Notamacropus eugenii: one gene and its partners. The protein of the gene in region 1 purifies or fractionates together with the protein of each later gene. This does not show direct contact. Links are inferred from orthologs where the notes say so. Each region holds a gene or a part of one and is shown on either strand. Other genes may lie near its edges. The genes, in order: OCIAD1, MTCH2 and SLC6A8.

Region 1 (7,936 bases):
TAAGAAACTTTGTTTTGATAACACTGTGATCTTTTCAGACACTTAATTACTTTCAGACAATAATTACTTAAAATGTAATAAATAACTTGACTTACATCTGTACCAGAAGCTCTCTCGATTACATTCAGCGAAGACTCTTCTTTCCTCTTCCGTCGGAATGTAATCCATTCCTATGTCTTTTTATCAAAGTTAAAAAAAAAAACAATCAAAAAACCTACAAGAAAAAACTCTACATTTTAACAGTATTCATTCTTCAATGACACAATTAAAATATGTAGAAAGTACTTTTTCAACTTTGGAAAAATTTCGATTTCAAATATGTCTAAACCTTAGTATCTCTCAAGCCAAAGAAAAGTAAACTACAGAAAGTTTCAGCATTTACAAATGTTCAATAAATTATTTACTAGGTAGTGGTGGTGAGACTTCTGCATTCTGCTCTGTCCCAAAATCGGTCCTTCCACTCATCTTTCCTGTTGTAAGAGAATTATATTAGAAGGTTAAGAAGTATCACAAAATTATTTAAAAATAGATACTGTTATTGATTCATAAACATGACATCACAAAAACTACCAGGATGGGTAAAAAAAAATCATAGTTTTGTTGAGTAGGGTGAAGTTATTCCCTCATTAAAATACTATGTCTATAAAATGGCACTGGGGAGGAAATCTTGCAACTTCACAAATACTTGTCATCTGTGTTGCCTTTGCAATTGTGCAAAACCAAAAGGAATGCTTATCTTAGTAAAGTTGATTTATTTCACATAATTTTATGGAAAATTCAAATTCATCCCAATTCCTCACAAAACATTGGTACTAGAAGCAATCTCAGGGGCAGCTAGATGGCTAATTGGATAGAGTGCTGAGTCTAGGGTCAGGAAAACCAGAATTCAAATCCAGCCTCAGGTAACTGACTAGTTGTGTTAACCTGGGAGAATCCTTTAACCACCGTCTGTCTTAATCCACTGGAGAAGGAGATGGCAAACCTTTCTATTATCTTTGCCAAGAAAATCCCAGGTAGCACTGGCACGCTGTGGTTCCAGGGGTCACTGAAGAATAAGTAGACCATGACCAAGTAACAAAGTAGTAATCTCAGACATCATGTATTTATTCTAACCTCTTTATTCTACTGATGAAGAAACTAAGAAGTGCATAGTTACTTGCATAAGGTCGCACAAAGGAAAAATTAATGGGTCCTTAAGCTGCAGTATGAGAGCAATACAACATAAAATAATAAAATTTGGTACTAGTTAACAAATAAAAAAGACGACTAGTGAAACATTACATAAGTCATCCAAAACAGTAGTATAGTATTTGATAAACTGAAAGACAAAACTCCTAAGATAAGGACTCCATTTCTGGAAAAATGTAAAAGCAGTGAGGCAAGAATTAGGTGTCGATCTTACCCCTCTATGGGAATTGTTTAAAACGTTTTGGCATGCAAAAATACTGTGATAAATGCGACTTCGACTAAAACTATGCCAATATTACTTATAATTTATGCCAATTATAATTGGTGGAATCGAACTCACTCTAGGTCCTTCTATTTTCAAATCTAATATCCTTTCCTCTACAAAAAAAACCAGGAGTGATCATAAAATACTAGCCTTCTTTTTGGCAAAAAAAAAAAAAAAGCAGTTTGGAAAAAATGGGAGGGCAGATTCCATCTTTCTACTTATTTAAATTCATCCTCAAATTCAGATATATGATCCTGTCCTACGTCCCACGGAAAGCCCTTGCTTCTCAACATACAATTATAAAATGAGATAATTTTTAAAAAGTTGAATTACAAAAGGGTTAGCCACAACACACCACAGAAGGCATGCCCGGGAGGCGGGGGAAGGAACCTAACTCCAGCCCCTGACAGCCCAGGGAGATCACTGGGTGCCCTGGAGCCTTAAAGCAAGGGGCAGTTTTCTCACTGGGAGTTCCCCACAGAACTGAGCCCCCCCACAAAACAGACGCGGGGGCAGGCCGGGCCTCGGACGCTTCCCCGGCATTTTACAGACCGGCAGTCCGCAGCGCGCTCGGGCCCCCTCCCCCACCGAAGGAAGACAATACGTCTAGACAGCCTCTAAAACGCAGGGGGCAAAAAAGGCTCGATTGCACGGGAGGTCCCAGAGGACACGGAGAACAAACAAAGTAGGCGACCCTCCCCGCTCCGCCCCCAAACGGGGTTCCCATGGCCCGGAGCACAGACGGCCCCCCTAACTCCTGGACCCCTCCCCCTCCTCCCCACCCCGGACACCCAGCAGCCGCCCGGTCCCGCGGATGAATGGGGAGCGGGATGGGAGGTCACAGCTTCTCGGCCCCGGAGGCCCTGAGTTCCCTCGGGGTTGTCCGGCTGGTCGTGCCCTCCCTTCTGGGCCAGGAAGGCCCCTCACCCACCTCCCGGCGGCGGCGGCGGCGGCGGCAGCAAGAGCGCACGCGAGCCCCCCCCACCTAAGCTGCGGGAGGGAGGGGACGAAGGGATGGGCCGGGGGGCGGGGCTGGCGCTACGCGAGAGCGAGGCCGGAGGAAGGCACGCGAGGCCGGCCGAGGGGGCGGAGTGGGCACCTAGCGTTTAAGCTAAAGGACAAAGACCCGGATGCTTACGTAATCAAGGAGCAGGAAATGACCTCAAGACCTCCACCAACCACCTTCTCCTTCTACACTCACGTGCAAACACTCGCGGGCTTTGGTTGGAAATCTACTTTAGTCCCGCCCCTTCTCCCTCCCCTTTCCCACCCTCTCGAGGCCTCCTCGCACTGCACTTGCGCACGTCAGGCGTCTGAGTTCTAGAGCCGCAAGTCCCTTTCCACCTCCCGGTTGGGAATTGAACTTTTGCCCTCTGCGACCCATCTTTTCTTAAACCTAACTGAATTCCTGAGCGGGCAAAGCACGAGAATTCTGGGACCCTCCTGAGCACTTGGCGCCTCGTATTCTCGCGGGGGGACACGTAGGAGCCCACCTGCATTCAAGCGGTGCGGAGGCAGAAAAGGGACTCTTTCCTTGCCAGGATCCCTTGCGTCTCGTTTGCCCCGTCCGCAGCCTAATGCAGCTTCCATTCTACACTATGTCCCCTGCGTGCGCCACCGCAGACCCCAGTAACGCGTGGGGCAGGGGCATGCCACGTGGTAGTGGAGCGTGGGATTTGGAGTCAGCACTTGGATGCTAGAGCCAGCCAGGAGCTGATGACGTTAGGCCAGGCACCACCTCTCTGGGAAGTCAGTGGCCTGATCAGTAAGTACGAGGATTGGGCCGGCACGAGCTCCAGGGTCCCTTCTGTTAATTAGTTATACGATGAGACTACTGTGTGCCCTGTGGAAACAAAGCCAAACAGTCCGCAGTATAGGCCTTGCAGCCCCCTCTCAAGTCAAAAGAACTGGAAGCCCTGAGATGGTTACTCCAGAACACTTTTTCATTGTATTAGTTTAACTCCCCTTTCTCTAATTTCTTCACAACAGAAGGCACGTGTATGTGTTCCTGTGTGTTGTCAGGTAGGTGGGTTGTCTACGTGTGGCTTACCGTGAGGGATAAGTAGATCTCTCTGGAATGTCTCCCAACTGATTCCTACCTGGAGAGGAGCAGGAGATTGGAGCCACTAAGCTCTCTTGCTCTACTCTGCTCAGAGGGGATGCTAGACCAGAATTTATCCGTCTGATCCCCTCCCCCAAGTTTTGCTAGTCTAGAAGAGATAATTTTTAGGTTCAAGCCCAGTTACTCTCATTTAACAAAAAAGGCGGTCCCCAAGGTATATCTGATATCTGAAGGCTCAACTATTTTCCCACCAAAAGATAGTTATGAGAAAACCATTCACAAATTGTGAATAAAACCCTTTTATCCAAGGCAACAGGAAATAGAAATGAGAGAAGTTGTACAGGTTACAGTATACTAGACAATACACAGAGTGAGCTCTTTCACTGGAAATGAAATCTCAGCTCAACCAAGGGAGTCCCCAATGTCACCTAGGAAGAAATACATCAAAGTCCGTGGTGTTGCAGGCTGGGAATCAGGGACGTGTTCAGCTACTGGCTCTTTATATATTGGCTTTTTCCCAGAGTCTTTTTTTCCCTTCAGGGGCCTCTCCCTGAACCAGCCTGGAATGGTATGTGTCCTCTCTTGAAGCCAGGTGCTGAGCACAAAGGATCTCTTCCTGTCCCAAACTTAACAACTCTTCCCCTTACAAAGGTATGAAGCATCAGATAGTCATTCTTTGCACCAATAAAAGGGAGTCTTGTGAGAATTCAGCAACCTTGTGGCAATTAATCTCTTTCCTAGTTTCTTTTTGTGGATGTTTCCTTATGGAATTTGTGTCCTTTCCTCTTTGATGTGCTGTTGTTTTCTTTTTAGTTTGGTGAATTTCTAGCTGTTTTGAGGTCCTTAATAATCTGTTTAGGCTTATGCCAAACCATTCACTCAGGCTTCCTTCCTGGAGTCCTTTCCTTTATTCTAAATAGCATAAAAGAAGTCCTCTTGTTGATGAATCCCTCTCTCCAGTTCTGTTTCTATTCTGGCTTTACCACATCCCTAGTCCTGGAAAATCTATAAAATTCCACCTGCTAGGAGGTGGAGTCTGGTTGAATCATACTGGGGAAAAGAATCTAACAGGCACATGGTGTGGGCCAGTAGATGCCCTTGGTGGGGATTGGCCTGCAACTGTAGATAATTTCAGCTGCTTGCTCTCTGTGTAGCTCTGTGGAACTTGGAACTGGAAGTGGGTAGCTCAGATAGTGACTTTTTCTCAATCTGGACTATCAGACTCACCAGCAAATTAGGGTTCAAGAGTAAGGAAAGCCACATGGCCACAATTCAGTCTCTCAGAAGTCTTAGGGGTAATCCTAGTGTGTCAAAGATATTCACAAGCTTTGCTTCTGCCCCCCCCCCCACCCCCCCCAGTGATGTCCATTTAAAGCATAACAGTCAAAATGATGCCATTAATTTTGAATCATGAAACAATTAGAATGCAGAATACAAAGCAATTTTAACTGTAACATAGCAGTTCACCTATAAATTCGAGTAACATCCCCACTAATGCATGTAGTTTCCATGGGAAAAGTAGACGGACACAAACTTAACAGAATTCTAGCAAAGAGGCCCATTTGTAAGGAAATGTGGCAGTAGCAACTGAGAACTACAGGAACTGATGCTACTGGCTCTCTAGGGAACAGTCTGCCACATGAAGCACTAGGTAGACAGAATTGCTTCTGGTTGCTCCTCTGGAACTGATCCAAGACTGGTCTCTAAAGCAGCATTATACTCTTTTATCAGAATCATTTCTTATAAGTCTGGGATTTGTAGAACTATTTAGATCTGCTTTTTTTAGCTGGACTGAGAGGAAGGAGAAGTTCCCCCTTTTCAAGCCACAGGTAAAGGTAAAGGACATGGTAGACAAGCTTTATCTTTTCCCACCAGCTAGAAATACAGATGTGCTGGCACCAGGTACTGGCTTGTGAAAACCAATTGTTAAATTTTCAGGATAAGTTTTTATTACTTGTGAAAATTGGCAAATCCTACAGATCAGGACTTGATTTATTAACTTGTTGATTTGTAGACTTAATAAAGTGATTGAGAAAATGTTAGTAATGCAAATTAAACTTACCATTATATCTTGCATAATGTACTTTAAAGAATTGGTTGCTGAGCATTTACCAATACACTCCTGGTTAAGCAGCAAAGGATTCTTCCTTCTCCAATAAGCTGCCAGCTGCAATCATTTTCCTCCAATCATTTCAGCTCGTAGAAACAGAGTTTAAGTCTTAATCCATACAGCTCAGCAGAAGGGCAATGCTCTTCTCTCTGCCCTTAGTATGAGTGCTTTTTTTAGGAACATCTGCTGGAATCATCATCATCATCCACATCCAATTCCTGTAGTTCTCAGTTGTTCCTGTCACTTTTCCTCACTAATGGGCTTCTTTGCTAGAATTTTGTTAAGTTTGTGTCCACTTTTCCCATGGAAACTATAAGCATTAGTGGGAATGTTACTCAGATTTATAGGTGGACTGCTATAGTATGGTTATGCAGTCTTAATTCTGAGCCGTGTTCTCAGCTCTTTTTAACTGAACTGCTCTCTCTCCAGCCAGCCAGGGGCCAGTCCTGCCTTCTTCCTGTGCTACTGTCTTCGCTCAGCTCCTTCAGTCTCCACTTCCGTCTCTCCTACCTCATAGCATGATGTTCTCCTTTATGATGTTCCTCATCTCTGCCTTATGGTGAGAAACCAAAATTCACACCTTCATTGGTCCACCACAAATATATAATATGTGGTTGTCTCATAGTTATCAAAAAGTTTTATTTATTAGGGTTTTCCAACTCTAAAGTTCAAAATCTTCGTTAATAGTTACATATAAATTGGTTTCTGGGAAACCAGACACTTGGACCTTCTTTGTCTTCAGTAAGTACTTTTCCCTGAGAATTGTTTTCTCTCGGGACTTTTCAGTACTCCACAATTAATTTTCTCTGATGCTCTGCTTTCTTTTTTATTTCTTCTTTTTCGTTTATTCTGAACTTAAAAAACACCAGATACAATGAACAGTGTAGATCAGGAGGAAAGGACTCTATATACAACTGTAAATCTATTATGTAGAGCTTGTTTTTCTTTTCAATTGTTCTTGTTCAGTCATTTTCAGCCCTGTCCTACTCTTTGTGACCCTATTTGGAATTTTCTTGGCAGAGATACGAGAGTGGTTTGCCATTTCCTTCCCCAGTTCATTTTACAAATGAGAAAACTTAATAACATTCAGACTGTCCTGCTTGTCTATAGTCTTCCTTTTGTTCTCTCTTTGTTTTTGGGAGGGGGGCGTTGGAGTGGGAACTCTGTCCCTCACTCCCCTCTCCCTCCCCCGAAAAAAAATTAAAGAAGAAGAAAAACAAAACTTTGGGACAAAATTGCATAATTCATAATTTTAAAAAATTCTCACATTGACCGTATCTAAAAATATATAGCTTTCTTTATCTTAAATGTGTCACCTCCCTGTCCAAAGGTGGTGGTAGCATGCTTCAGCATTTGTCCTCTGGAATTGTGGTTTGGCATTGTAGTGATCAAAAAAGTTGAGTCTCAAAATTGTTTGTATTTACAGTGGTATTGTTATTATACAAATTGTTCTGGTTTTGTTCACTTTTCTCTGAATCCATTCATATAAAGCCTATCAATAGGTTCCTTTGAATAGATTCCTTTTGTCACTCCTTATGGTGCAATAATATTTCCATTTTATTCATATATTATAGTTTCTCTAGCCACTTCCCAATTCATTGACACATTCACAGTTTCCAGTACTGCTACATACAGAGCTGCTATGAATATTTTTGTACATATGAATCATTTTCCTCTTTCTTTGATGTCTTTATTTTAATACTGGTATAACTGGATTAAAAGGTGTATACTACTTAGTATCTTTTGGAGCATAGTTCCAAATTGCTTTCCAGTATGGCTGAACCAGTTCACAACTCCAAGTCAACTCTAGTCAAGTCAACAAGCATTTAATAAGCACTAACTATGTGTCAGGCACTGTGCTCTAAGTACTGGGAACTCAAATACAAGCAAAAAGAAAGATAATCCTTTACCTCAATAACTTTACATTCTACCAGGAAAGACAACAAAAAGGAAACTGAAAAGTGGGAATAGGAGGAGAAGTTACCTGAACCAGGTCATGATGGAGAAAGAAGTTTGGAGATGCCGGAGAGGAGCCTTGTGGAACTTTGAAAGAATGAACATGAACACTTTCTTATAATGGAGGTTCTGTGAGGAACTGACCAATCAGAAGAAGGACTGTAGGGTGGAGGTTTCTTCCATGATGAGAAAGCCACAGAACTGAGGGATTTTTCAGGGTGATAAGACTGCTGGAGAATAGTAGGGGAAGAAATGTAGGAATACATAAGTGGAGCCTAAAAAGGAATGGAGCTCCAGTAGTAGTAACTCAGTGTGCCTATATCCCCTAGTCCTCTCCAAAAGTTTTGGTTTTTGA
Region 2 (7,928 bases), about 100 Mb from region 1:
GGAGTCCAAATCTTTTCTTCTGAATCTACCCTATGGTGCAAATAAACCCTGGCACTGTGGAATCTAAACCCACAAATGTCAGCTTTTGATAGACAACCTGAATTAATTTCAGCTTAAGCCAAAGAATGTTGAAATGTGATTCTCTCCAACATGGAACTCAGGTTCATATTCCCAAGACGTACGACTTGGAAAGCACTTTGTAAACTTTAGTCATGTCAGATCTATTAAGCAAGACATCTTTATTAAGCACCCACCACACGCAGGACACTTCTCTGGCTGCCAGGAAACGTCCCAAGACAGAAGGACCCAGTCCCACTCACCCTCAGGAGTGGACACTCTACACACAGGACAAGAGGCCCAGACAAGTATGCACAAGGGACAAATAGAGTGGACATGAGGTAACCTCGGACGGAAAGCCACTGATGAGCCACTGAGGAAGGCCTTGCTCCCGAAAGGAAGCTGGGGACTCCAACAAGTGGACAAAGAGGGAATGGGGAACAGCTAGTACAAAGGCCCAGACAACGGAGATGAAGTCTCCTGAGTGAGGAACAGCATTCTGGTTAGATCTCCCAGTTGGTCAAAGGGAGTAAAGTGTCAGGAGACTGGAGATTTAGGAAGGGCCACACAGAAGATCTTCAAAGGCCAAACAGGAGGGTCCTCTCTGACCCTAACAGGAACTCATTTCATTTTTTGAACTATGAGGCTTTCTCCCCACTCCCTATTTCCCCCAGCCTGGAAACAAAAGAAAAGCCAAATCCCTACAACGAGTTCAGCCAAGCAGAAGAAGTCTCCAAGTTGCTCCCTGGCCCCGCAGGCTCCCCCTCTCGGCAGGGGGTGCCGATCCAGAACCACCCTGCCAGGTCTTGGCCCGTTGCAGACTCCTTTCCGGACGCCATCTCATTCTCCACGTCCCGCACTGGGGCTTGTTCAGCCCTCCACTCCCAGCTCCTGGCCACCACCAGGGCCGCGGGCAGGGCTGCACTTCCTCGCTGTTCCCCAAAGGCACCCCGCACACGGGCGTCCGAGCCCCCTTCCGAGCTCCCCGACAGCGCCCACCTGCCTGCTTTCCCCGAGCGCTTCGACACTTGGGTCTGAAGCTCGGATCTCTTCTGATTCGCATCTCACCAATCGCTGCCACCCAAGCTTCCGGAGTTGGGGTGTTCGTGGGGGCACGGCACCCCGCAGTACTTCTAGGAGACAGGCGGTGAGGACGGCGGAGATCGGGGAAGTGACCGGAGCTAGGACCTCGGGGGACGGCAAGAACGGGGACCCTCCCGGGGGACGCGAGGAGAAGAGAACGAGCGTTCAGACTGAAGTCAGGCTTGGCTGAGATGTCAGCCGGGGAGAGGGCGCGCCTGGCAGCGGGACCCGACACAGCACACAGCACGGGAGCTGAGATGTCAGCCGGGGAGAGGGCGAGCATGGCAGCGGGACCCGACACAGCACACAGCACGGGAGCTGAGATGTCAGCCGGGGAGAGGGCGAGCATGGCAGCGGGACCCGACACAGCACACAGCACGGGAGCTGAGATGTCAGCCGGGGAGAGGGTGCGCCTGGCAGCGGGACCTGACACAGCACACAGCACGGGAGCTGAGATGTCAGCTGGGGAGAGGGCGCGTCTGGCAGCGGACCCGACACAGCACACAGCACGGGAGCTGAGATGTCAGCTGGGGAGAGGGCGAGCATGGCAGCGGGACCCGACACAGCACACAGCACGGGAGCTGAGATGTCAGCTGGGGAGAGGGCGAGCGTGGCACCGGGACCCGACACAGCACACAGCACGGGAGCTGAGATGTCAGCCGGGGAGAGGGCGAGCGTGGCAGCAGGACCCGACACAGCACGGGAGCTGAGATGTCAGCCGGGGAGAGGGTGCGCCTGGCAGCGGGACCTGACACAGCACACAGCACGGGAGCTGAGATGTCAGCCGGAGAGAGGGCGTGCCTGGCAGCGGGACCCCGGGAGAGGGCGCGCCCCCGGGAGAGGGCACGCCTGGCAGCGGGACCGACACAGCACAGGACTGAGGGGAGAACCAAGGGAACAGTGTCAGTGCCCGCAGCGAGTGCTGGGCAGTACCAGCGAAGGAGAAACTCGGGGGAAAGCTCAAAGTACTCAGCGCTCCAAAGGGGGCAAGCCCGCGCCGGCTCTCGGTGACTTTCTCGAACCCCGGGGCAGTGGGGCGCCCACGGGCTCCCAGGGCAGAGCAGAGAACAGATCCCGGGCACCCGCTGCCATTTCTGAGCGCGCTCCTGGTGCCCACACGGGTGCCTGGCTCCAAAGCCTGCCACGGACCGCAGCAGCCAGAAGGGCGACGGCCCCACGGCCACGGTGGCCCCACGGCCACGGTCACTCGGCGCCGGCAGAGGGGGGAGGGGCCGGGTCTTACGGCGCTTTTACCTCTTTTCATCATTTTCTTTCCGACTGAAAGGAAAAGGGAAGCGGGGGGAGGGTCCCCGTCCGGGCGGTCTCTGAGCTGGGCCGACGGGGAGAACCCATCACACCTTCTGGATCGGGTTCGGAGGCTCCTGGGCCCAGAAGGGGCCGGGCCGGGCCAGGGCCCCGGGCAGGCCGCGCGTCCCTTTCGCAAGGTCCCCTCAGGCCTGACTTTATGGGGCCCAGGGAACCAGGGATGAGGCGCCCCGGGCCTCGGGGCAGGCCGGGGACGGGGACGGCAGGCCGGGGACGGGGACGGCAGGCCGGGGACGGGGACGGCAGGCCCGGCGGCGGCTCCTCCTACCTGTACGAGCACCTTCACGTACATGAGCGGCTGCGAGAGGATAGTGAGGCCCGAGCCCAGCAGCACCTGACTGGCCGCCTCCGCCATGATGGCACCCACGGACTGAGCGACGGACTAGCGGGCTGGCGGACCAAGCCACCGACCGACCGGGTCCCGGATCACGTGCCGGGGCCGGCGGCTTCGCTGACCCGCGGAGCGCGCACGCACGCCCTCTCCCCGCCTTCCGCGAGCGGCGGCGGAGGCGCGCACGCAGGACCCGAAGAAACGGCGGCGCCTCGCGAGCCGAGGGGAGGAGGCGAGGCCTGTGGGGCGGGGTCGCCCCCTGGGCCCGTCCCCGCCCCCTGGGCCCGTCCCCGCCCCCTGGGCCCGTCCCCGCCCCCTGGGCCCGTCCAAGCCCCTGGGCCTGTCCTCGCTTTGGCCCCACGCGGCGGGGCGGAAGGCTACTGCGCTTGCGCGGGGCAGCAAGGGGCGGAGCGAGGCCTGAGGGAAGGAGGAGCCGTAACCGCCATGGCGGGTAGTTCACTTGGCCGCTAACTGCCGGACAGCTGGAAGAAAGCGCTCCCGGCCCTTCCCCCGGAGAATCACGAAGATAACCGCCTTCCTCCGGCGTCAGTCCGTGGGCCTCACTCGAGGATCCCCATTCCTCACCCAGGAGCGGGCGAGGAGCCCTTCTCCTGCTGCCCAGGCCTTCCCGCCCAAGCGGAGGCGAGCCGCGGGGGGCGCTGGGCGGAGCCACGTGAGGGGCCCGGGGGGCCCCCGCCCTTCGCTAGCGAGCGGCCGAGGTGACACTCGAACTCGGGAGTTTGGGCTCCCGAGGGCGGCCGTGGGAGCCAAGGGAGGGCCCCGTGGGGTTGGGAGCGTGGAACGTAACATCACCAAGCCCGTGCCCCGTCGGGGCTGCCCTTGCCCCCCTTGGGCGCCGGGCCGTTAGAGGTCTCAGCGGGGCCCGGGCCTTGAGGCTGCGCCCCCACCTCCGAGCCCGCCCGCGCCTTGCCCTCTGGGTGGGTTTCCGCGGCCCCACGAGCGCCGAGGCCCGGTCAGTGACGCGTGTGTTTGGCCCAAGAGCATCGCGAGGACCCCAGAAAACCAGGAAAAGGGGGCGGTGTGAAGGCCGAGCTCTCCTCAGGAGGCGGGCCTTCCTGCCATGTATTTTGTGCCCCCCTTGCCCGGAACATGTTTCTAAATGTGGAACAAGCGCAGAGCTACGCAGGAAACCAGTCCTATTAAAACATGGTTTCCAAGTGTTGTTTTTCAGAAGTTCGTAGGGCCCGCGTGGAGGGCGAGGGTGCTGAGGCGCGACGTCCCTGACGTCATCCCTTGCCTCTCCTGTTCTGTGCGCAGGCGCGCTTTGCCGCGTATTACACGTGGCTGAATTACTTGGGTCTGCCTTGTGCTGACACGATGCTGTCAGTCTGCCCTCGTCCAGGCAGTGCTCGCGGTGAGTCATCGGCAGTCAGGCTTGTAGCGGTCAAGGCTTTTATCTGAGCAGGAGGATTCCTTTAAAGCTGCGCCGGCAGAGCGCTAGCAGACACGGTGACGTATCTGGGGTGTCTGAGGGGGTGCCCGAGGAGAGATCTGGCGGGCTTCCCAGCCTTGGGGGGTTTTGTGACGGCGGAGACGTTGCCCAGGACAGCCTGCCTGTCCCTGCTTTGCCAGCGCCCCCGTGGAGGACGCCGCCGTGGAGGGTGCCCTCGTGGAGGGTGCCCCCGTGGAGGACGCCCCCGTGGAGGGTGCCCTCGTGGAGGGTGCCCCCGTGGAGGGTGCCCCCGTGGAGGACGCCCCCGTGGAGGGCGCCGTCGTGGAGGGTGCCCCCGTGGAGGGTACCCCCGTGGAGGACGCCCTCCGCCGCACGCTGACCTGGCGCCTGGACATCGGATAGCCAACGTTTTCTCAGTTGCCTTTCCCTTTCTTTTTTTGGTATCAGCAAAGTCTGAGACGTTTTTTCTTTACCTGTTACCTCTCTCTCCTCCAGATGTAGGTGACTGACCCTTCTGCCCCTCAAAGGTGTGTCACTCCAGGGTAGGTCCCTTCAACATCTAAAACCTTCAGGGTTAACGTTTCTCCATCTGCCTTCTCTCCAGAGTCCGAGTGTGGCGGTTCTGCTGTCCGTGGTGCTGACAGCTTGTTACCCAGACTGGGCAGATGCGTCTTTGTTTTCACCTGACCCTCCGTTTTCATCCTCAAATGCCCTTGGGATCACTCTTCACCCAACTTTGTTTTGGGAAGTTTGGATCCCTTTTGGAGCTTACTTTAAATTGATCTCACTTCTCGGTTAAGAGAGAGGTGATACCGCACACAACCTCCCCGCTTCCAGATGTTACAGATGTGCAGGACCGCCTTCGGATGCTAGGTCTCTTCTGGGCAGGTAAGTTGTTTGTTGACTAGGATGCTTTCTAAGGATCTTATTACTTTTTATCATGGAAGTGGGTTTATGTCAGTTAAACTCCTGTCTGAGATTGTTGGGGTCTGGATTTATACCCTTTTTCTGGCTACGCCCCATTTTTCATTGTGAGTAACTCGTTTGAATGGTTTCAGCTGGGTGCCGCTGTCTTTTGGTTTTGGCTTTTCTAGCTTTCTGACAGTTTTGAGGGTCGCTCTGATAAACAGGTGGGCTGATTATATCTAGGTAGCTCATTCAGGTAGGACTTCTATACTAATAATGGCATTTCCTGTCAAGGTAGAATCAACTTCATTTTCTTGGACCTTTTTAGGTGCTTGCCACGCTGTCAAGTGCCTAATGCTTATTTTCTTGAAGTATTCATAATATATAAAGGTGAGGCTTTTGAACAGTCTAATTCTTTTTGACTTCCCTCATTTTTCCTGATGCATGTTTTCCCATATACATTCTCACCTATGCTTCCCTTTGCATTGAAGATACCAAATACCAAAGTATAGATTGATTTGATTAGGAGAAAGGGAAACTTAGTGACTTCTATTAGAATTTCTGCACCATCTGTAAGACAGTGGTACATAAACTGCAGTTTTTCATGGTAGTCTTTTTGCAAAAACTTACGTAACATATCCAGTAAGGTGACAAAATGTTCCATGAGGTGTTATTTTAATTGTCTTTGGATGCAGAATAAAACCAGCTCTTCCAGTTTCCTTACGTGAGAATCTGTGAGCCATTCTCCTATTTAATGACAACTTCTGGTTTTGTTTAGTGAGAACATGAAGATTGATATGTCTAGTTCCTCCAGTAATATGTATACTTGGTATAGCTTCTATTCTCTCATTAGGGTAGCAACAACCAAGTTATAGATCATTTAAATCTGTGACTCTGGATAATCCCCACTTTGTCACCATCTGCTGTTATTGCCGAAGAAAGGGAACTGTTCAGGAATGAGCACAATTTAAAGTGTGTGTGTGTGTGTGTGTGTGTGTGTGTGTGTGTGTGTGTGTGGTTCGCCATTGCCAGTCATCAGTAATCATTTATTAAATGCATACTATGTCCTGACACCGTGATAAGTGCTGTGGAACTATTGCAAGTCACAAAACAGTTCCTGCTTTCAAGGAACTGACATTCTAATGGAGGAGACAACGTGTACCAACATTTAGGTCCATAATCTATGCAGAGACCAGGATGAGGATCTCAAGGTAGAAGTCTGCAGCAGCTGGGAGTACTGAGAAAGGCTTCCTGCAGAAGTAGCGAGAGAAGCCAGGGCAGGGAAGAGGCTGAGCTTACAGGCATGGGACTCAGCTAGGGCCTCTTGGTGATAAACACCCTCAGTACTTAGCTACCACATGCCATCTGTGGCTAGAACTGTACTTGAAACCTTTCCATTGTGACAGAACCTGCCAAAGCTTTGGAAAACCCAGGGTCATGACCTGCATGCCTTAGTGGGGTGTCACAATAGGACTTTTTGGTGAGTGAGCTGTTACTATAAAAATTATGTCTTCCCAGCAACCTTTTCTCAAAAACACAAAAATACTTCTCTTAACACTATACATATATAGTATTATAGCACTATGTAATGTTACTGTTGACCTAAATTAATCTGCACCATTGTTCTCCCATGGCTACAATATACTCCTTCCTTATATAGGACTTTCTGCATCCTTTCATCAAAATTCAGCTCAGGTACCACATCAAGCAATGCTCTTTCATCAAATGTTCCCAGAATATTTTGGACTTCTCTTTTGCCTTCATCCCATTCTATCTTGTATTATCATTTTCTGCATACTTGGCATATCTCACCTCCTCCTGGAGACTTTTAATTTCCTTGAGGACATAGACCATCGCCATTTGGCTTTCTACCTCTTTTTATCTGCGGGGCCTACCACAGTAGTGCCTTGTATACTTAATGTCTGTTGAATTTAATTATTGAGGACAGAGATTGGCTTTAACAAAATATCACTCTTAATCCAGTGTCCTACAAGTTGAGGATGTTATTTGACTCGAGGTCAGGTGATGGAAGGATATTATCATATTTTTTTGAAAACTTAAATCTATGAAGATGGCGGAGTAGAAAGACACACATACGCTAGCTCCGAACCCACAGCCCATAAAATATATGTAAAAAAGAACTCCCAACAAATTCTGGAGCAGTAGAAGCCACAGAACAACGGAGCGGACGAGATTTCTGTTCCAGAGAGCCCTCAAAACGTCTTGCAAAAGGTCCGTCGCGCCCCCCACCCGGAGCCGAGCCCAGCCCTGCCTTGGCCGCGCGGCACTGAGAGGAACAGATCCGAGCAGGCTTCAGGGACAGAATCTCCAGCTGCCTTGCAGGTCCCTCCACCCACGGGCCCCAAAGGTTGGTGAGAGGGTCTTCTCAGCGTGCGGAGAGGGAAGTGGGGTGCCCCCATAACTCAGGCCTCTTTGGAAGGCAGCAGCGGAGGCGGGAGCAGACCAGGGCTCCCCAAGCAGGGAGGAGCCCGGATCCATTGTTGAAGGTCTCTGCATAACCCCCCTGAGGGAACTGAGCCCTGAGGCGGCCCTGCCCGGACCTAACCTGAACACCTGAACTTCATCTCGCACTGAATAGCAGCCCTGCCCCTGCCGAAGCCCTGAGGCTGGGAAGCAGCATTTGAATCTCAGACCCCAGGCACTGGCTAGGCAGATCTGGAGGCAAAGTGGGTGTGAAGAGAATACTCAGAAGTCAAGTCACTGGATGGGAAAATGCCCAGAAAAGGGAAAAAAAATAAGACTACAGAAGGTTACTTTCTTGGTGAACAGATATTTCCTCCCTTCCTTTCT
Region 3 (7,460 bases), on another chromosome or scaffold:
ACCACAATTTGTTTAGCTGTTCCTCTGTCTCTGGGCATCCACTTTGCAGTTCTCTGCTACAACAAAAAATGTTGCTATAAAGTTTTGGTTTATGATGGATCCTTTCTTTGGTGTATGTGGGGACCTTCAGGTATATGTCTAGTAGTAGAATCTCTGGTTCAAAGGACCCAATGCTTTCTTAATTGCTCAGTCCCGGGTGGGGAACTTGTGGCCTCGAGGCTACACGTGGCCTTCTAGATCCTGAAGAGCGGCCCTTTGACCAAATCCAAACTTCCCAGAACAAATCCCCTTAATAAAAGGATTTGTTCTGTAAAACTTGGACTCAGTCAAAAGGCTGCATCCCAGGACCTTGAGGGCCACATGTGCCCTGAAAGCTGCAACGTTCCCACCTCTGAACTATTATCTCCATTGGATGACATCCAAATTTATACAGTTATCCCTTGCACATCAAGATTTTGCCCATCTCGGTTTCAATATATCACAGGTCGGCATAAGAAATTAAATGGGAATTTTTTAGGAGTTTTATGGAAAGTGCAAACGACAGAAAAACTTTAGAAACTCAGAAATACATAAAATGTATGTATAGTATTGTATAATACCAACATATTTCATCATTTGATACCATAATAATTAAGGTTTCTTCTTTGGTACAAAGGGAGGGCCAAAACTTTTTACTTGGATTTTCCAGATTTTGGGGGGGAGGGGTCCCAAGCCTTTAACCCCTGAGGTATAGAAGGGATAAGTATATATTCAGCCCCAGTCCCACATCACCAATTACCTTTTTTAAACTGGATATCCCAGGAATACCTCAAACTTAACATGTCCAAAACTGAAGTCATTACCCCACACCCCCCAAACCCTCCCCTCTTCCAAGCTTCCCTCTTATCTGTCAAAGGCACCACCATTCCTCTAGTCTCCCAGCTTCATAACCTTGGCATCATCCTGGTCTCCTGGCTCTCTCTCATCCTACATATCTCAAAGTTAATGCCAAATCTTGCCCTTTTGCCCTTCCATCTTACCCCTTCTCTCCACTCACATAGTACTATCTTACTTCCGATTGTTGCACCAGCCTCTTCATTGGACTCCCTGCCTCAAGTCCCCTCTCACTGAAGCCCATCCTCCACACTGCTGCCAAAACACAGATATGAACCCTTGACAATCAACTCTGATGGCCCCTTACTACCTAGATGATGATATATATAAGCTTCTCTGTTTAGTTTTTAAAGCATTTTGAAATCTGGTTCCTACCTCCCTTTCTATTGGATGTCCCTTCTTCCATACCCTGGGATCCTCAAAACTGTCCTCTAAATGACACTTCTGCACAGACCCCAAGCCTTGCTGGGTTCTCTCGGCCTCGCTTTTTCCTTTTTCCTCCCAACACGGTGCCCTCCCTCCCCAGCTACCTTGTACTTAAGGTTTTGTATTTTACTCTCCTTAGATTTACCCCGTCTACACTTACACATGTCCCAGTAGCTTCCCCATTAAAGGACAATAACCAACCAACCAGCCTCCCCATTAGAAGATCAACTCCCAGAGGGCAGAGATCGTTCCAGCTGCCAAGGCCGGGCACACAGTCTGGTATGAAGTACTTGTAGGTTGTCACCGGATAAAGGGATCAGGGGATGTGGCATTTCTTTAGTCATTTTAAGTGGGGTGGGGTGGGGTGATTGATTCAATGCCCCCCCCAACCCCTTACAAAGGAAAGACAGGCCAGGAAAGATATTAACGGGAGACACCGGCTGGCTCTGGCTCCCTCCTGCTCCTCCTAGGCGTCACCACTAAGCAACCCAACCTTCTACTCTCAGACTCATAGGTCCCCTAGGGCAGGAGCTCTAGGGGACAGCAGCTCAATCTGGTTTACTCTGGAACTGGATTTGCCAGCTCCCAGCTGGCTAGAGGCTTAGCTGGCTGAGCCTTAGGCCTGGGCACTGGGGCCCTTGGCTGGGAGAAGAAGGGAAGGAGGAAGAGAGGAAGAGAGAAAGGGAGGGAGGGAAAGAGACAGGGAGATGAGTTTTCCCCCTCAAGGGAACCACTAATTCGTAAGTGCTGAGCCTTAGGCCTGGGATGTAGGAACCAAGGAGTGACTAGTACAGCTGGAAATTCTGGGGAGGGGCCTCTTGGGCCCGCAGGGGGAGGTTCCCATAGTGGTCACCAGAGGGCCGCCGAACCACACTCCTTCCTCCCTGAACCATTGGCAGGGGTGGAGGATGATTGGAGAGTGGGGAGACCACTTAGGATGGGAAAGCTGTGATCAGGGCCTGAACCTGGTGCAGGCTGTGTAGGTAAAAGCAAAATTACAGGCCTACAGAGGGATACTTGGAACCTGGCTACTGCTTAAATATGGGGACTGGGAGGAGATTTGAGGGTGACTCGGAAGTTGATGAATCTGGTAACTAGAAAAACAAAGGTGTCCTGAACAGAAATTAGGACGTTAGAAGGAGGGGTGGATTTAGGAGGAAAGATAATGAGGTCTGCTTTGCACGTACTGAATTTGAGCTGTATGTGAGCCGTTCAAGAGGAGGTCTCTACTCTGCCAAAGCAATCATCCAGGATGTCTATTTCTAGGACCCTTTGGTTTGCAAAGCACCTCACTTCCAACCACCCAGTGACTCCCTTTTTCCTGTGAGAAAATGGAGGAGTAGAGAAGTCAGGCATCTGCTAAGGAAGCATCTGGGACCTAGTATCCACTCTTATCTCCTAACTAGGGCCACAAATGTAGCCAGTGCTTGGTTCTTCCCTTACAAGTTCCTCTGCACTGATACACATGCAGATCCATGCCCAGATGAATGCAGTTCAAGGCCCCTGAGTGCCAACCCTGCCAAGTCATCCCCAACTAGCTGTGTGCCTTTGGCCAAGTCACCGGATGATCCTAGTTGCTTCCTGCCATGGTCAGACTTAGGCTTCAGGAAAAACACCTCAGCAGCTAGCTGTGAGGGGGCCAGATGAGGGAGGAAGGTTCTCTGGGCCTGCGCCTTGGGGCCAGGTGGATAATGAGGTCAACAGGCTGGGAACTAGATTGGACAAACATTTCTCTAAGATCACTTCCAGTTTCTGTTTCTGAGGCAGATGTAGAACTCCTATATACACACCCACAAGTACACACCCTTGGTCCACACTCATACAATGGGGTAAAGGGCTGATAACCTCAGCTCATTTCTTCCATTCACAGAAAGGACTTTTCTGTTTCTTAATGACCAGTTGTAACGGGTTCCCTCTCAGGATCAGAAATGCCCAAGCTGCTTTGAGTTGGGGACTGGAGGTTGATTCTTGTAATCAGAGAAAGACTCATCTATATTCATTAATCCACCTTCATCCCCCACCACACCCCACTCATTTATCCCTCAGAGGTACCACCCTCCCTTGCTTGGTAGGCCTCCGGGAAGTTGTTACCTGGCCCAAAGTCCCCCTTCCCCCCAGACCCTCCATCTACAATCCTGTAACAACTCTCCAAGACAGCCCCGGATCTACAGTTTCTTTGTTTGTTTCAATATAATCCTTGTTGTTGTGGCAATATAATCTTATCTCTGCTGATAGGTTGGTTTTTACAATTTACTCTTTTACGAATTTATCGGTCACCTCCGAGGGCAACGAGTCATACTTTGTAGCGAAGAATAAAAAAAAGAGAAAACTAGCGATTCAGCAAAACCTACTCATTAACTGTGTCAGGTACTGTAAGTAATATTCCACACCACTAGTCATCCACCTTTAAAAAAGGGAAGTCCGTCACCCCTTTAAATGAGATCTATCGACCCAGAAAGGGATGTTTGGTTAGGACAGCTTAGCAGCCGCCCCCATCCCCACCCCCATTCCCCTCCTAAATTCACGCTTCCCCATTTCCCTCCTTGGGCCATTCCATGAGCCCCATCCAGCGCCAAATGGAAGGGGGAGAAGGTCAAGGCTTGTGGGGGGAGAAAGGGGGGTGGGCAGTGTTTAAAGGTGCTCAGGGTTGCAAAAGGGGGGACGAGGAGCAGGAGCGAAGCCCAGGAGGGGGGGACTGGGGAGGGGAGACCGGAAAGTATGTGTGTTGCCGGGGGGAGGGAGACAGGCGTTCTCGAAGAAAGGGAAGTAAAGGTTACAGGGAGGGCAGGGAGGGCAGTGATACGGGAGCCAGGGCTGACCCGAAGGCTTCGCTCTGCGGCAGTCTGGCAGGCGGGGGTGGGGTGCGGGGGGTGCCAGGGCAGAGCGCTGTAGGACTTGGGGGCGGGGAGGGGAATCCGCTAAGAAGCCTTTGCCAGCGGGGGCCCAACCCATCCCAAGCGAGCGTGCTGGGAGGAGGAAGGCAAGGAGGTGGGCGGAGTGATGGAGAGGGAGGAACGAGGAGTCGACTGTCGGGGGTGGGGCGACAGTGACATCACCTCGGAGCAGGCTCTTAAGCGGCCCCGAGTCGGGGGGAGAGAATTGTTCTGCCCGCTGGGGAGAGAGCTCGGAGATCGGAGCGGAGGAGCAGGCGATCAGCCCGGAGTCGGAGTTACTGGGGATAGCCCAAGGTAGGAGGAGAGCCTTTCGGGCTCGGGCCGGAAGGCCCCCCCCCCCCCTGCTCTGCAGGGACCCCGCCACCACCTTCTCGGCCGTCTTCTTCCAGAGTTTGCCGACAGCGAGCAGACCTCCACTCGGCCGCTTGCCCCTTGGCATTCTATGCCTCCCGGAGTGCCCAGGTGAACCTCGGGCCCCGCTAAGCCCCCATAGGCGTCCCCCGCTGTAGCCGCCACCGCCACCGCCACCGCCAGCGCCGTCGCAGCCGCCGGGCCGAGTCCCCAGCAGCTGTCCGAGTCTCCCCCCTCCAGCCCCGGACACACATGAGATTCTTCAGGCTGACTTTCAAGTGTTTTGTCGATTGCTTCTGAGTCCCCCCCTCCCGCCCCCTCGAACCTCACAACCCTTTATCCTCCCCCCAACTAGGGGAATCCCCATCCTTTCCCCTTCCCCTCCCCCCTCCCCTTCCCTCTGGCAAAGTTAACCCCCCTCCCCAAATTCTGGGGGCTGCTCCCTTGCTGCCCCCGTAGATCTTGGGCTTGTGTCCCCCTCCCCCAATTGTTAGGGGCATCTGCTGTCGACAGTTGGCGAATTCTTTAGAGGGGATTTGAGGAGACCACCTTGTGCGTCGGAGTACCCGGGCCTCCTTTAAAGGGTCAGGAGTACCCAGACAGTGTCCTTTGTATTCTCTCCGTGATCCCCCCTCACCCTAATCCGAGCCCTCTGTCGTATTCACACACACACACACACACACACACACCCCACACACACACACATACATACACACACTTCACACACACACACACACATACATACACACACTTCACACACACCCCCAGCCCTGCCTAGTAGCGGGGCCATGGCGAAGAAGACCACAGAGAACGGCATCTACAGCGTGTCTAGAGAAAAGAAGGCCTCCCTTCTTGACCCCGCGGACGGGGCCCCCCCAGTCAAGGCGGAGGTGGCAGCAGCCGGGCGGGGGGCCCCGGGCCCAGGCCTGGCCATCCCGCCCCGGGAGACATGGACCCGCCAGATGGACTTCATCATGTCTTGTGTGGGTTTCGCGGTGGGCCTTGGCAACGTCTGGCGTTTCCCGTACCTGTGCTACAAGAACGGCGGAGGTGAGTGTGCAGCTGGCTTATCTTCTCTCCCGGATGCTCACCTCCTGGCCCACATCAGTGTCCGTCCCCCCCACCTTCTCTAACCCCCCCCCCACTTGTCTATCCTATTCCTCCAGCCCTGCTCCCTTTCCCTCCGACCCCATCCCCCCATCTGCTTCACCTCCAGCTCCTAATCCTTGGCAGACCGTTTTCCCCCGTCTATCTCTCCTTGCTTCTCACCGCCTAGCCTACTTTGCCAGTTGAACTCCACACACGCCCCTCCATTGCCCTGGTCATCCATCGGCCTCCTTCCTCCCTTTGGTCCATCCCTACCCAGTCAGAGATGCCAAAGTCCATGGACAGGGAGGACCCGGAAGGGGAGGGGAAAAGGGTTGTGTGTAGATGGGGTGGGGGGGAAGGGATATCGAGAACGCCAGCAAGTAGTGACTGGGGTCCTGAAGTCCCCTCTTCCTGAGTCTTCAATGTTCCCAGGGGTGGAACTAGGGGCTGGGAGATGCCCCCGGGGTGGGCCCAGGTCTGCCACTCTCATTGCTTTGCCCACCCTAAAAGCTGGGGAACTGTAAATGGGAAGGATAGTGAAGACTCTTGGTTGGGGGGGTGAGGGTGGAAGTAGGGGTTGGAGATGGGGAACAGTGAAGGGAATTTGAAAGGCAAGAGAAAGGCCTTTTCTGAAACGGTTTTGCCCCCTCCCCAATCCATCTCAGGGGCTGACTGCCCCTTTAAGAGCATGGGTTACTGGGAGAGCTCTAGGAGGTGTCTGCCTGACACCCCCCCCCTACCCCCCCCCCCCAGGGCCCACAGTACCATACTGAGTGAGTGCACACCTTCCTGCACTGCACAATGGGCCACTATCTGACTGCCTGTCACACTGGGTGCTTCTGCCCCCTTAGGTACACAGGCCTGGCTTTATGTACACATGCGTACGCACTTACACGTGTTCTACGCATGTGTTTATCATTCATGCTCATGCACATGCTGTTACATGTGAATACACGTACCCCACAGGGTACGTGCACTCAGTCATCGCTCATGTATACATGACGACATGTTGCATGTATGTTCTTGGTGTGTTCATAAGGCGTATGGAGTCATAATTTGCACCCCAAGGGGGGGGGCTGCTCGTGGGGAGGGTGCTGTCTAGATACCATTATATTAAGGAGAGTGAACCAGAATCTGGAGGTTCAGGGGCCCAGCAGCATTAGGGGTCTGAGAAGCCAGAAATCTGATGCTCAGCTCTGCTATCTGGGGGAGAAGGAGAGGATTGGGGAGGAGTAGGATAAGATGGTCCCAGATCCTCAGTATCTCAGTGGGTTATGGGTTCCTCTCTCCCTCCTCCCAGCCACTGTCCTTGGCCTTGACCCTTCTGCTAGCCCAATCCTCAGTGCCTGAGGCCCTGGGGGAGGAGGCTGGGTTAGAAGGAGGGGGGCAGGCTTAGAAGGTAAAAGCAGCGTCTCCAACCCAGTTCAACAGGGCTGGGACTTCTAGCTGGCTCATACACCCTCCCATCACCTCCCTGTACCCTCCATCAATTCCCTGGGCCCACTGGTCCCATGTCTCTCTGACCTTTCTCCTTTCTCCTCCCATTCTCTTCTCCTTTCCCTGTCTTTCATCTCTGTCCCTGCCTCCGGTCTTATCTCTTGACCCTATCCCAGGCTGGGGCTCCGTTTTCCATTTCCTCCAGAAAGCTCTCCCTGGCCTCCCCCATCTGTCCTTTTCTCCTGCCCAGGTTGGGGGACCCTGGGGCCCCTCCCTGGCTCACCAGCTGTCTCCACCCCCTGGCGTGGGTTTCTCTCACATGCATGCTTGTGGCTGTTGCGTCACATGACGCAGTATGGCGCAGACACATGAGGCAGGCAGCATGGTTCA

The links.
Region 2: the proteins of OCIAD1 (region 1) and MTCH2 purify together in Homo sapiens (affinity purification with mass spectrometry; 3 studies listed by BioGRID and IntAct, with this or other methods). This does not show direct contact. The link is inferred for Notamacropus eugenii from reciprocal best matches to the Homo sapiens genes OCIAD1 and MTCH2.
Region 3: the proteins of OCIAD1 (region 1) and SLC6A8 purify together in Homo sapiens (co-immunoprecipitation; 3 studies listed by BioGRID and IntAct, with this or other methods). This does not show direct contact. The link is inferred for Notamacropus eugenii from reciprocal best matches to the Homo sapiens genes OCIAD1 and SLC6A8.

The regions. Positions count from the first base shown.
Region 1 is NC_092877.1:103,232,906-103,240,841, reverse strand, and holds the start of OCIAD1 (OCIA domain-containing protein 1), read right to left. Parts: upstream 3,044-7,936; coding exon 2,947-3,043; intron 2,513-2,946; exon of another isoform or gene 2,385-2,512; intron 1,905-2,384; exon of another isoform or gene 983-1,904; intron 948-982; exon of another isoform or gene 925-947; intron 471-924; coding exon 405-470; intron 177-404; coding exon 96-176; intron 1-95. UniProt on the Homo sapiens protein: Maintains stem cell potency. Increases STAT3 phosphorylation and controls ERK phosphorylation. May act as a scaffold, increasing STAT3 recruitment onto endosomes. Involved in integrin-mediated cancer cell adhesion and colony formation in ovarian cancer.
Region 2 is NC_092877.1:3,363,205-3,371,132, reverse strand, and holds the start of MTCH2 (mitochondrial carrier homolog 2), read right to left. Parts: upstream 3,053-7,928; 5' UTR 2,822-3,052; coding exon 2,735-2,821; intron 1-2,734. UniProt on the Homo sapiens protein: Protein insertase that mediates insertion of transmembrane proteins into the mitochondrial outer membrane. Catalyzes insertion of proteins with alpha-helical transmembrane regions, such as signal-anchored, tail-anchored and multi-pass membrane proteins.
Region 3 is NC_092879.1:22,484,151-22,491,610, forward strand, and holds the start of SLC6A8 (sodium- and chloride-dependent creatine transporter 1), read left to right. Parts: upstream 1-4,398; 5' UTR 4,399-5,332; coding exon 5,333-5,594; intron 5,595-7,460. UniProt on the Homo sapiens protein: Creatine:sodium symporter which mediates the uptake of creatine. Plays an important role in supplying creatine to the brain via the blood-brain barrier.